Oryzias latipes: one gene and its partner. The protein of the gene in region 1 purifies or fractionates together with the protein of each later gene. This does not show direct contact. Links are inferred from orthologs where the notes say so. Each region holds a gene or a part of one and is shown on either strand. Other genes may lie near its edges.

What was found.
Region 2: the proteins of polr2e (region 1) and polr2m purify together in Homo sapiens (affinity purification with mass spectrometry; 3 studies listed by BioGRID and IntAct, counting the BioPlex papers as one, with this or other methods). This does not show direct contact. The link is inferred for Oryzias latipes from reciprocal best matches to the Homo sapiens genes POLR2E and POLR2M.

What each region holds. Positions count from the first base shown.
Region 1 is NC_019862.2:26,973,149-26,979,674, reverse strand, and holds the start of polr2e (DNA-directed RNA polymerases I, II, and III subunit RPABC1), read right to left. Parts: upstream 3,685-6,526; 5' UTR 3,568-3,684; coding exon 3,511-3,567; intron 1,774-3,510; coding exon 1,599-1,773; intron 677-1,598; coding exon 561-676; intron 115-560; coding exon 34-114; intron 1-33. UniProt on the Homo sapiens protein: DNA-dependent RNA polymerase catalyzes the transcription of DNA into RNA using the four ribonucleoside triphosphates as substrates.
Region 2 is NC_019861.2:21,378,239-21,384,663, reverse strand, and holds polr2m (protein GRINL1A), read left to right. Parts: upstream 1-2,828; 5' UTR 2,829-2,939; intron 2,940-3,024; 5' UTR 3,025-3,071; coding exon 3,072-3,178; intron 3,179-3,910; coding exon 3,911-4,444; intron 4,445-4,559; coding exon 4,560-4,782; intron 4,783-5,413; coding exon 5,414-5,557; 3' UTR 5,558-5,932; downstream 5,933-6,425.

The DNA.
Region 1 (6,526 bases):
TATCAAACTTTAGACTGATAACAAGAAATTTACCTCGTGCTCTGTAATGTTTATTAGCAGTTCCTGCTGCAGAAACTGTTCCAGAATGTACTTTGGTGCCATGTCCACAAGAGACTGTAAAATAGGATTACATTTTCAAGTAAATGTTCAGCGTCTTTGCTTATTTTAGTAATATTTCAATTAGGGCCGTGCATCAAGTTAGAGTCATTGTAGACACTGACTTAAATATCTTAACAATATCAACAATTGAAGGAATAATTTGAGTCTTATACCAAATTTTGATACTTATATATAGTGAGCCTCAAATATATCAAGTTATTTAGCAGTCTGTGTGTACAGATATGTTGTGTTGATTTCACTTTGTGCCCATTGTGCTTTTTTTGTGTGTACACTGGTTAGAGATAAGTCATTACTTTCAAAATAAGATAAAACATTTCTGAAGAATGTGTTATAAAAATATTTTTTTGAATCAGTATCCAACAATGTAATGATCAGGAACCGTTCCAGTATGTAAACTTTAGCAACGATACCCAGCCTTAGTTTTAAATGATTACACATACCTGCTTAGCTGAGGGTGTCATGCCCATCTGAACCACGATGATGGCTCGAGTAATGTTCTCCTCCTGCATCCTTTGACAGTACATCTTGATTGTCTTGATCCCGACCTTGGGTTCCTCTAATCCAGAATAGAAAAAGAATCATTTTGAATAAAGCTTTATTAGGCTTGTTCAGAAATGTAAATACATTCGCTGCTCCCATGTTTGATGAGCCACCCCGGTGAAAACGGTGTTTTTTTAATATGGAGGACAAATATGACAGAATTGAAGACAGTTCCAGTGTGTCTTATATTAAAGTACAACTAATTACGGTTGCAATATTTTCTAACACTGAACCTCTTTGCTATTGCCAATAACTGTGTCTGATCTGCGAAAAAGAAAAATGATAAAAAGAATAGGAAACTGTAAAAAAATATAACCTGTTAGACTCAAATGAAAGGTTGATATTTTCAACTGAACCTTAAATATTGATGGATTACTTAAATTTGTATTTTGACTTGTGAAAGATTTAAAAGAGGAAATTGACTACAGTTGGATATGACATTTATAAAATAAATCATGTAAAAAGTGCCGTTGCGATTGGTAAGGTTAGTGTGTATTCTTCTCATAGAATGGTGTTAAACAGCGTTCAGTTGTCAGCTTTGCTCGTCTAAAACCAGAAGTACGGTGACACAATGGCGCCCATGTCTCTGTTTTGTCTGACGTCACCATGAAAAGGGTCTATTGGCTTCATTTCTCTGGAGCCGGAAGAAAGGCGACGTCACCATGGCTCAATTCTCTAATAAAGTCAATGTAATCTAATGGGAGAGTGTGTAAACAAAAAAGGGATGATGGGATATCAGCAGGGGCTTACGTCCGTGCCAACAGTGATGCCCACACAGGTTTTTATGAATTTGGCTAAAAACAGAGCATTCATAAATATAATACCACTGGGGACTCCTTTAAAAATAAATCGAAATATGATTGGAGTGTAACTTAAACTTTTGGTTATTTTATGGATAAAAGGATGAGTTCCCAAATTATTCTCAAGTATAAACCTACCAGGAAAGAAAACAAACATTTGATCAGTGGGATCATCGTTGTGTGCGACCAAGACTGTAAGGTCCGTCCGTCTGGGACGACCCTCGCTGGGTTTGTCTCCGAATTGACTCTTGAACTCCTCCAGGGTCTGGTCCAACTCATCTTGTGTTACCAGATAGCCTCGATCGTGGCAGAGCTGTGGTTAAAAAAAACAAACAACATTTTAATATGTATAGTGTTGGCCAAAGGTTTTGAGAATTACATAAATATTGGAAATTGCAAAAGTTGCTGCCTAGGATTTTATAATAGCAATTTGCATGTTCTCCAAAATGTTACAAAGAGTCATCAGATGAATTGCGTAGTCCTTCTTTGCCATGAAAATTAAATGAATCCCCCCCCCAAAAATCATTTCAGTCATCGTCTTTTTAACTCAGTTGAGAATGTTGACGAGCACAAGACTGGAGATCATGATGTCAGGCCGGTTGGGTTAGAATGGCAGACTTGACATGTTAAAAGGAGGGTGATGCTTGAAATCATTGTTCTGCCACTGTTAACCATGCTGACCGGCAAAGAAACGTGTGCAGCCATCATCGCGTTGCATAAGAATGGCTTCACAGGCGAGGATATTGTGGCAGCTAAGATTGCACCTAAATCAACAATTTATAGGATCATCAAAAACTTCAAGGAAAGAGGTTCAATTCTTGTTAACAAGGTTTCAGAGCGTCCAAGAAAGTCCAGCAAGTGCCAAGAATCGTCTCCTAATGGGTTTTAACTGTGGGATCGGAGCGCCACCAGTGCAGAGTTTGCTCAGGAATGGCAACAGGCTGGTGTGAGCGCATTTGCATGCACAGTGAGGCGGAGACTTTTAGAAGATGGCCACTTATCCACCCCAAAAACAAACATCAGGGACAGATTGATCTTCTGCAAAAAGTATGGCGAGTGGACTGCTGGGGACTGGGGCAAAGTCCTATTCTCCCATGAAGCCTCTATCCGATTGTTTGGGGCATCTGGACAAAGGCTTGTCCGGAGAAGAAAAGGTGAGAGCTACCACCTGTCCCGTGTCGTGCCAACAGTAAAGCATCCTGAGACCCTTGATGTGTGGGGTTGCTTCTCATCCAAGGAAGTGGGCTCATTCGCATTTTTCTCCAAAACCACAGCCATGAATAAAGAATGGTGCCAAAACTCCCTCCAACAGCAACTTCTTCCAGCAATCCAACAACAGTTTGGCGTCAAACAATGTATTTTCCAGCACGATGGCGCACCGTGCCATGAGGCAAAAGTGATAACTAAGTGGATCGGGGACCAAAATGTTGACATTTTGGGTCCACGGCCTGGAAACTCCCCAGATCTTAATCAATCTGGGTTGCTATCGGTCAGGATTTGGCCCTAAAGTTGATTGACAGCATGCCCAGTCGAATTGCAGGGGTGCTGACAAAGGAAGTCCAACACTGCAAAACCTGACTCTCTGCATAAATGTCATATAATTATTGTCGATTAAAAAAAGCCTAAACGTAATAAAGAGCTGATAACTATATTTCAGTACATCACAGAAACAAAAATCTAAAAGCAGTTTAGCAGCAAACTTTGTGAAAGTGTATTTAATGATTTGAAGCATTCATGTTGTCATACATGTAGTCTACATGTACGAAAACATGTTGGCTTTTTTTAATGGGTCATCATGGGTGTGCTAAAGTTAGCCTTCGTTCAAACGAGGCTAACGAATGCATCATTCCTACACATAATAATTAAAAAAAAAAGTCTGAGCGCGTAATTGGAACGACTTGCACTGAGAATAAGAGATTAACACACAAAACGTAAAAGATTTAGTTACAACTTTAACAATGGCAGTCAAAAGCGACTCTTTAACGCGAGCCACATGTGAAGCTAACAGCTAGTTCGCTGCTAAGCTAGTATATCCTTTTATTTAATCCACCTGCATTATTGTTTTACGGATCTTCCACAGCCGGTAAGTTTCCTCTTCATCGTCCATCCTTTCTCAATTTATTCTCCTTTTCGTATTTTTAAATCACTAATATTCTTCTAAAAATCCGATGGCATCGATGGTTCCTGGCTTGGCCAATATTATATACCACAATGCATTGCGTTTGATCGAGTTGACGTTTAAAAAAACTGTTCTTAAAGAAAAGTCCTCCAGGTTATTATCTTCAGAGCGAATTTATTAAGTCTTCATAAAATGTTCTTAATTATTCGGTATTTTTTTTTAACTTCGGCTAATTGGAAATGTAAATCTGAAGACAATTTACTTATGGTAAAAAAAATAAATTAAAATAAAAATTTGCTTCAGAATTAAAAATCTCTTTCTAAATTTATTTTTTACTGACTGAATTTAGGTTTTAAAAAAGCTTAGTATATTTTGCTAATAATAAATAAATATATCACCTTCTATGTTTTAATTATGACACATTTTATCTATAAAAATAGATAAAATCTTAGAATGTAGACGAGGGTCATTGAGTATAATTTAAGTACGTCATCTTGACTCTTCTTTAAATTAAACTGTTGCAGTGAAATAGAAACTGTCTTTTGGCTGTTTTGCTATTTGTTCATGTATCGCTAGTTATATCGTCATCGCAATATTGATCATTGATATCGCAGAACGCGAGTTTCCTCATATCGTGCACCTCTATCTCCTACCCCCCCCCCTTTTTTTGAACGTTTTGACCTATATTTTATTTTTATTTTTGTTTTGAAAAACCTCATACGTCATTTCCTCCTTGTCTTGTCAAGCATTTGACTCCACCCACTTGAGTTTCACAACACTGGGTGGAAATGAGTCACGTGCGCTTACAATGAACAAAATAGATTTTTTCCGATAACTGGGGCCTTTTTATTATTATTTTTATTTAAGTCGCTGTCAAAAATGAGGCCATTAATTGTTATGTTGACAGTTGGGGCTATAGCGAGCAGCGGAGCACTGCTGGCGATGGTACTGTACTTTGTTTTGTCCACCACGGTAAAGTATTTCTTCTCTATAACCTGATTGCATAGCCTAGCACAGTGCATGCGTTTCCATTGGAGTACATGTATTATTACATGTCTATGCATACGTAGGCATGTCTCCTGTTATTGTTGTGTTTTTGTCATCGTTCTGCTTAACACCTCGTAAGGAGATTTCTCCATAAGCTCATAAACCTCTTATATTTGTTAGCCAGCGAGTTCTGGATGGTTCCGAACAGTCCGGAACAGAACAGACTATAGTCACAAACGCTGGAGCAGCGCCAGCATCCTTCACTCCGTCTGTTCACTGGCACCAGCTGATAAACATATCACAGTGTCAACATTTTAGATGTTTTTTTTTGTATGACGTAAAAAACCTCTGCCTTACTTTTTTATTTTTTTTACATTTACCTTCACATTTTGTATGTTTTGCCATTTAAGAACACATTGCTAAATTCCATTTAGGTTTTTATATGAGTCTAAATACCAAGACAGCTCAGAAGAACAGTTCAAAACAAACACAATGACTGATAAATCGTGAAGTTTCTTATTTCCTGTCGTGGTTTGTTGATCAAATCAGTACATTTAAGATCTCTTTTTTTCTGGGATTAGATTCTTTTCCCTATTAGTTTTAATCATTTGACACAATGTGTTTTTGTTTCCTTTGCCTGGGCAAATGGCTCAGGTTGTCTTGAGATTATGTCAATGCTGTGAACTGTGGACCGCAGTACAAAGGTGTTTTTGATCTGCAGGCTTTAATTGCCAGCAGGAAAGTAGGAAGTGCTGGACAATCCCATCCTATCAGCTGCGTTACAGATCACATGTTTTCTCTGTGAGGACACTGCAACGTGTGCTTTTTGCGTATAAAGCCAGAGTCGCGGGGAGGGGGAATCAGAGATCGGATTGTTTTCTGCCTTTATAGAGGCGAACTGAAGGGCAGCCATGCTCCTGACAGGCTGTACAGTGCTTTTCTCTGTCCTGCTGCAGGTTATGGTAAGAAATGACAGGAGCTGCATTGGACTGGAACCTAACTTTGCCAGCTCTGCTTTTGTTTTGTGTTTTTATAGAATGGATTTGTTCATTTTTTCTTATGTTTTATGTCATGTCTGGTATATTTTTGTTTATTTTTGTGCTGATTTTCACCCAGATTGACATTTTTATGCCTTTAAAACAATGTTTACCTTTAACCAACAGTCCACTCCGACAGAGGACTGGCAGAGGGCCACATCTATTTACGATTTCAATGCAACAGACATCGATGGCAACTTGGTTTCCTTGGAAAAATACAGGTATTTGAGATCAATTCTTTCTCGTTTTGCTCTTCTGGTAAAACGACGATCATCCATTTTCCCGTTGTGTGTGTTTTTCAGGGGGAACGTTGTCATCATCACCAACGTCGCCTCCAAATGAGGCAAAACCGTAGTAAACTACTCTCAGTTTGCAAAGATGCACGCCGCGTATGCTGAGAGAGGTTTACGCATCCTCGCTTTCCCATCCAACCAGTTTGGGAATCAGGTATTTATGTTTTGTCGTCTAAAATTGTGTTTGTGAAGGTAAAATATCCCAAGAGATCAAATTTCCAACTTTCTTTCATAATTGTTGCATTCGTTTTAATAAAGCTTTGGGTGTACTTTACAAATCAGGGTATAGAAAGGATGAAATGTGGATTTGAGGTTGAAATTTATGATGTAAATTTATGTAAAAAGCAGTTGTGCTTTTTTCAAAAGTCCTAATCTTTTGCAGAGTCATAGTTGCAGTTTGTTCATTTCCTTTGGCTGCATGTTTGCCTCTCAGCCAGATAACAGAAACACTAGAAGAATGATTCTTAAAAAACTTTGTGTTTAGTGGACCATGGTCAGGGGAGGGAGGGGAACATTGATTTTTGTGTTTGTCTATTGCTGTTCTGAAGAACTGTACCAATTTAAAGGTCTTTGTATGCTTTTCTTTTATTTTTAAAAGGTTGTTAAGTAAATAATATCTACTAATGTTTT
Region 2 (6,425 bases), on another chromosome or scaffold:
ATATTTTTGAAGAAGTATTTCTCCTTTGTTTGCACTGTGTCTAACCATTGTACAGCGCTGAATGAGATTTATTGTTGCATAAGCTTTGAGCTATTCACTTGACATTAGCTAAAATGTAGTTGTGTATCTTTTTTTATTATTTTGTATTTTTGCTTTACCCAACAAATAAGTATTTTGTTGTTGTTTTCAAACCTGACAAATTATTTTACAAAAGTATTTATTAACATGGTTTTAATATGTATTTTAATCTGTAAAATCTGACTCTTTAATGGAAACCCAGGTTACTCTACATTTTTAAAAACTGTAATCTTCTGCAATCGTTATAAAAGTCCTTTGTGTTCAGAAAAGTTTTCATGATGCTTCTTTTTTTTTATTACACATTACAAATTTAGACCATAAGGTTGCCGGAATGTAATCCTCCACACACTAATGAGGGTAGTCACAATTTAGGAAACAGTTTGGTAACTAAAGTTTTGTGATTCAGTCGCCTGATTGAAAGACTTTAACACAAACTAAGTCACAAAAAGTACAGATGTTGTAGCCAAATTACTGAATTATTTGATTTACAAGTTTATGATTAGATTAAATTGATCAATTTACATGATTTCAGCGAACACTGCTTTGATTTAACATTTTAATCCAAAACAGCATTTGTTTAAAGTGGAGAATAGTGGAACTTCTTCTTCTTCCACTTTCGGCTTCTCCCATCAGGGGTCGCCACAGCGAACGAGTCGCATGGTAGATTTGGCAATGTTTTACGCCGGATGCCCTTCCTGACGCAGTGGAACTTACTGATAAATAATGAAAAGATTCTTATTTTAAAATTTTTAATGAAAGATTAAAAACACAAGGAAGAAAAAAAGATTAAATTGATTTGATGAATTACTGTAACATAGCTTTTTCTTTGTGAAGATAAATTCAAATTATTTTGTAAATACCCTCTTGTAGTGCTTCAATAAATATGTCCATGGAATGTACATGCAAACTTGCATGGAACCTCCACCTTAAAAGAGAATCAGGAGCTTTAACTGACCACTAAAGAGGGAATAGCAGATCAAAGCAAACAACTCATAAAATGATGTATGTTATGCTAAAGGCTATCCTTATAGAATCATTTTCTACCCATGCAAAACTGATTTAAGGACTTTGCACTGTCAGGGACACAGCTGGAACTTGAAGTGAAAGTCATTGTCTGCTGAGTTGGGTGGAAATGGTTTGACGCTTTGGCTGGAAACCTTCCAAAGGGGAAATGCAGCTGTGGAAAACAGAAGAATGCAATACTGGAAAATGTTACACCGACAACACCGGTTAAGAAAGAAAAGATCAACAAAAAGCCTAGGATCTACAAAAGGGATGTTTTTTTGCCCTGTTTTAAGCATTTTGTTTAAGGAATCTGATGGGATGGTCTGATCTGCAAAAGAAACAAGAAATCTACAGAATATTGAACTATAACAAAGAACTAAGATCTCGTGAGCAAAAAATGTCATATTTAAAAAATAAAAAAGACATGGTATTGTATTGCTATGCATTGTTTTCACTAAGCAAATAAGAAAAGATGAATACAAAGTGCTGTTTATTTCTTGGGATAGAATGATTTATTGATAATATATTTATAGTTTAATTCATTTCTGCCAAACAGGTACAAGAGATTAATTGTCTTTTTTTTTTTGAGGGAAACAGAGCCTTCAGCTTTCAGGCTCATCTTTTGTGGCACCAACTCCCCAGTTCAATTCTGGAGGCAGACACCATCTTTATCTTCAATGCAACTAAAGCCTTCCTCTGATAAAGGAAAAAGTTCTCTTTGACCTGGATGACCTTAACCCTTGTGCTATCATAGGCACTTTGACATTGGGAGTGGGGTCATCTGGACCCCACAAGACAGTGCGCTGAACGTTTTTTCTTAAATGATTTGTAATCTTCACTGGTGTCCAAGGATAACATGAAATCCTCTTCGCCTTTATCTACCTTTGTCCTGGTAGGGATAACACGTCAATGCTAGGGTGGGGTCATTTGGACCCCATAAGATAGCACAAGGGCCTCACTTTATACTTTTCTTATTTCTGCTTTGTTTTTTTTTAAGAATGCATTTAATACATTTACAGTTCCTAACTGGAATGTCTTTGTCATGTGGTTGCAGTGTTTGCCCCTGTGTTGTCTACATGTCTTCCTGTCCTCTAATCCAAACCACTAAGTGTAAACGGTCGCTCTCATTTGTTCCACTTAAATTGTTACATTTTCACTTCACAATTGTCTGTTTGCGTCCTCATAAAGGATTGCGACACATACTCTTTGATGTAATCTGTTGGTCACTTATTGAAAAAAAAAAACTAGAGTTAGCCAATTTGACCCGAATGAAATATTATGGATTAAATTGGATTATAAAACCATTTTAAATAATGTAGTTGGAGAAAAAAATAAATAAATTATTTTGTGGGCACCACTGGTGCTGTGACGTGCTTCATGCAATCAATGACGAGTCATGGTATTTGTCACAGTAATCTGAGTAAAAGATAACTTCAATAAAATGGTTAAGTAAGACATATGGTTACTATTTCCTCTAAAACACTTAAAATGATATGTGATTGAATCTTTTGTCATTTTCCCACAAAACTGGAGATTGTAATTACTTGATTCATTGTTTCTTGCTCTCCTAGATTTTTCACCTTGCGATAATATCGGTTGGAAATTTAGTTTTTTTGTACAACTGAAATTGAATTTACTGTATTGGGAAATTCTCCTCATGATCGTTTTTGGTAGTCGTGACCACCTTTGGCCAGCAGAGGGCAGCAAATTACATGTGTTATTCCAACGGCCAACGAGCTGCAGTACAGTGATCTGTACAGTAGAGGGAGAAAGAGCGTCACAGCAGACGTTGAATTTCCGCAGAAGAAGAAGAAGGTCCCACTTTGAAATGTTGTCATGAGTGGAACTCAAAGAAGGTTTCACGTAGAGCGGATTGTTTTATTAGTAAATTGTTTCTAGTGTTTTTGTCGTATAGTTTTAAAGTCAAATTTTAATCTACAGTTCGTTGTGTGGGAATGGCTGCAGTTGGAAGCGGGTAGCCATCAGTAATGTCGTGGACCGATCAGCGTCAGGGGAAGGTTGGAGACCTGAGGAACCAGAGCAGAGAAGAACTGCAGGAGCTGCTGCTGCGACAGGAAAAAATCCTCTCCAATAAGTGAGTCTGGCCTTTTATTAGACGACAAAAGAGACATTTTCCTGTAGTTTTTTTTTATTTGTTTAATGACCATAGTATATTAGCAGTTAAAAATAGTTACAACACATTCGGTTCCATCATGTTAACGTTATACCAACTGTTAAGAAATTAAAAGTAAAACCTGCACATTTTAAAATGCCCACTTTGGGCTTTAACCGAATGTTTTATATTCCAGATGCTACATGTTCGTTTATATTGTTTATTCTTAGTCATCTTTTAACTTTTAATAACAAAAAGTTACTCCCAAAGACAAATGTTTTGCTCGAAAAATGTCCCTTTTCAACAGTGAATGTAATCATAGCAAGAGGATTATGTTAGAGTCCCCCTCTGATCATCTGGATCCAGTCTCCTACAAGTGGATGCATCATGGCGTGGAGGAGGAGGGGGCTTGTGGCCTGCCGACTGTAGCTTCTACATCACAACAAGATTTTTTTCATGTATATGTCCTCTATCCTGAGAAAAATGCCACAAGAACACGTTAAAAACCGAATTTTCATTGCAGTGGGCCTCGAGGTTGCATCAAAATAGCTAGGAATGTATCATAAACCATATCAACTGATGCTTATTGTGTTGTGTATAAATCACAGATTAAGTTGTTGTTTGTTTTAGAAAAAGAGGCAGAGATGTGATAAATGCCATGTGACATAACTGCTCGATGAGTTCTTTACAAGATGATTGTTTGTTGTTTTTTAGGAGGTTATTACAGACTCTTCCAGACAAAGGGAAAAAAATTCAAGATTTTGCAGACAACGTGCGTCTCGCCATTGAACAGCGCATCGAAGAGGAGAGGAGGCGAGATTTACTGTCTGCTACAAGGAGCGATTTACAATCCAAGTACCAGCAAGCTTTCAGTTCGCAACAACGTGGAGTCACCTCATCAGCACCTTCATACCAAAATGAGGAAGGAGAGGACTCACGAGGAACGGAAAGCACACCTGATTTAGCACCAACGAAGAAAGATGCCACTTTAGAAAAACAAATGGACACATCTGCTGCCGAACCCTCTGTTAAATCTGAAGAGATAAAAGAAAGTGAGCTAGTGGAAGCCCTGGACAGGGTCCAGGTATCCGAGTCCAATACTGGAAAGTCCAAAGAAGCCTTTAACAGCAAAGCAACAACCAATTACTTTCTCCAAAAGCAAACACCAAAGAAGCCTCACTATATTGCTGTCCTGAATAGAGGAGAGTCCTCTTTACATGCCATCAGGCAAAAATTCAAACCAAATCAGTAAGTTACTTTATTTCTTTCAAAACTTTGATATATTATTTGCATTTATGTCTGTTTTATTAGGGATAAACATCTGGATTCCTTGAAAATCAAAATGTTTTAACCCTCTTTTCAGGCTGCTCAACAGAAGTGACGTTTCAACGTCAGGATCCTCGTCACCAGGTGAGCCCTCTGGAGATGCATCGCCGCTGTCCGCTCAGGCCAGGAGGGAGCAGGACAAGAAACACCTGGATGATGTCACTGCGGCCAAACTCCCTCCTCTTCATCACAATCCTGCCCAACTCCTGACCCTTGAAGAGTCCGCTGCCTTACTTGTAGAACACACCAGAAAGCAGCAGGTTAGTGTGACTGAAACCTCTCACACACATCAATATGACTCGCCATTTAAAATGGCTGTGAAGTGTTGAGAGGGCTTCATCACTGATGTCTATCATTTTGGGCTTGTTGTGGACCACTCAGAAGATTTTCTAACAATGCACAGTTGCTACTGTGGAGGTTTTCATATATGTGCAGGACTGATGGTAATATAGGTGTCATTATTTGCCCACAGGGGCATTTTCATAAATTCTTTTTTATTATTTTGTTAAAATGGTCTCAAAACAAAATGTTATTATCTGCCATTGCACAAAAGCACACATTGACAAATGTTATGCAGGTTTGAATAAAAAACTGAAAATAAAAGTGAATAAATTGGTTCAAAGTAAAATAAAAATCTTAGTGAAATGTGTTTTTAATGAATCACTGACTACATCATTTGATGTTTGTTTCATTTTGGTTTTTCATAGTTGTCATTTTCCCTTAAGAACTCCAGAGGGCAGTATTCAGACACTGACTTTACATGCAGACCAATACCTGTAAATGCAAGAGTCAAATCATCTTATTATTATTAGTCATATTTCAGTGTTTATTGCTCTCTTTATGCACTTTTTCCTATTGTTTTTTTTCTTCAAATCTTGTGTATGATTGTAGGAGTTGCAGGCCAAGCTGGCAGCCCAGAAACTGTCTGAGGGACTAAAAATGTCGGTGGGGGGCTACAACCCTGACGGCGGCTCCATGGGCGCCTACAGAGAGGTGCACGATGAAGAAGCACAGCTTTCCTCAGAGGAGGACTGATCCTGGAGGACCAGCTGAGGAAACCGTTGGCCCTTTGGCTCAAAGATGCTTTGGACCTCACTATGTGGAGCTCTCATGCATCTTAGCATGAAGGAGATGTGGATAGACTGAGCTTAGCAAACTAAATGTTAAGTTAGGATGATGGATCTGTTTAGCTCAGGTCTTCTCAAGTTCTGTCAAGATAACAGCTTCAGCTGATCCAGAGTCTGTGAGGTTAAATCCTAAATTGGTTTTCTAAGTTGAAGTTTTCTTTTAAAATTAAAAAAATGCACTTCAAGTTGATCAGCAGGTGGAACTGACTTTTTTGGGACATTGTGACTGTTTACAGCTGTACCAGCAGACGTAAGCTGAATAAAAACATCTGACTTTGTGAAAGTTAGAGTTTATATGACAACATTACTGACTGACAACTACATCAAGCAACACTCACCAAACAGCATTTTACAAACCCTTTTTCATTTGTAAACATGAACTCTATAGCACATGTTTGGCTGATTGCAGTAACATTTTGGAGTAAACGGGGTTCATACTTTAAACCTGAAGCACTGCTGCATAAATCACCTTCAGGTTGCAATCGTGTGTCTTAATCCTGCCAATCTTTTTTCGTTACGGAAACTGTAAATTTGACGGAAATATGATAAAGGGAGAAATGGGAAGATTCTGCATTGTGAGTGAGCTCAAAAAGGTTCTTGGTTGGAATCCCAGATGAGTCCTTTCTGTGTGGAGGTGCATGCATTGTTTTTCCTTTTGTCCACCCATGTGGACTTACCTTTGCCTGAAGATAGCTGGGACATGTGTCAGGGCATGTGTGGCAGGTATAGATGATAATCTGATAGATTAAAGATTAGGCCAGAAGCTGTTGGTTTGC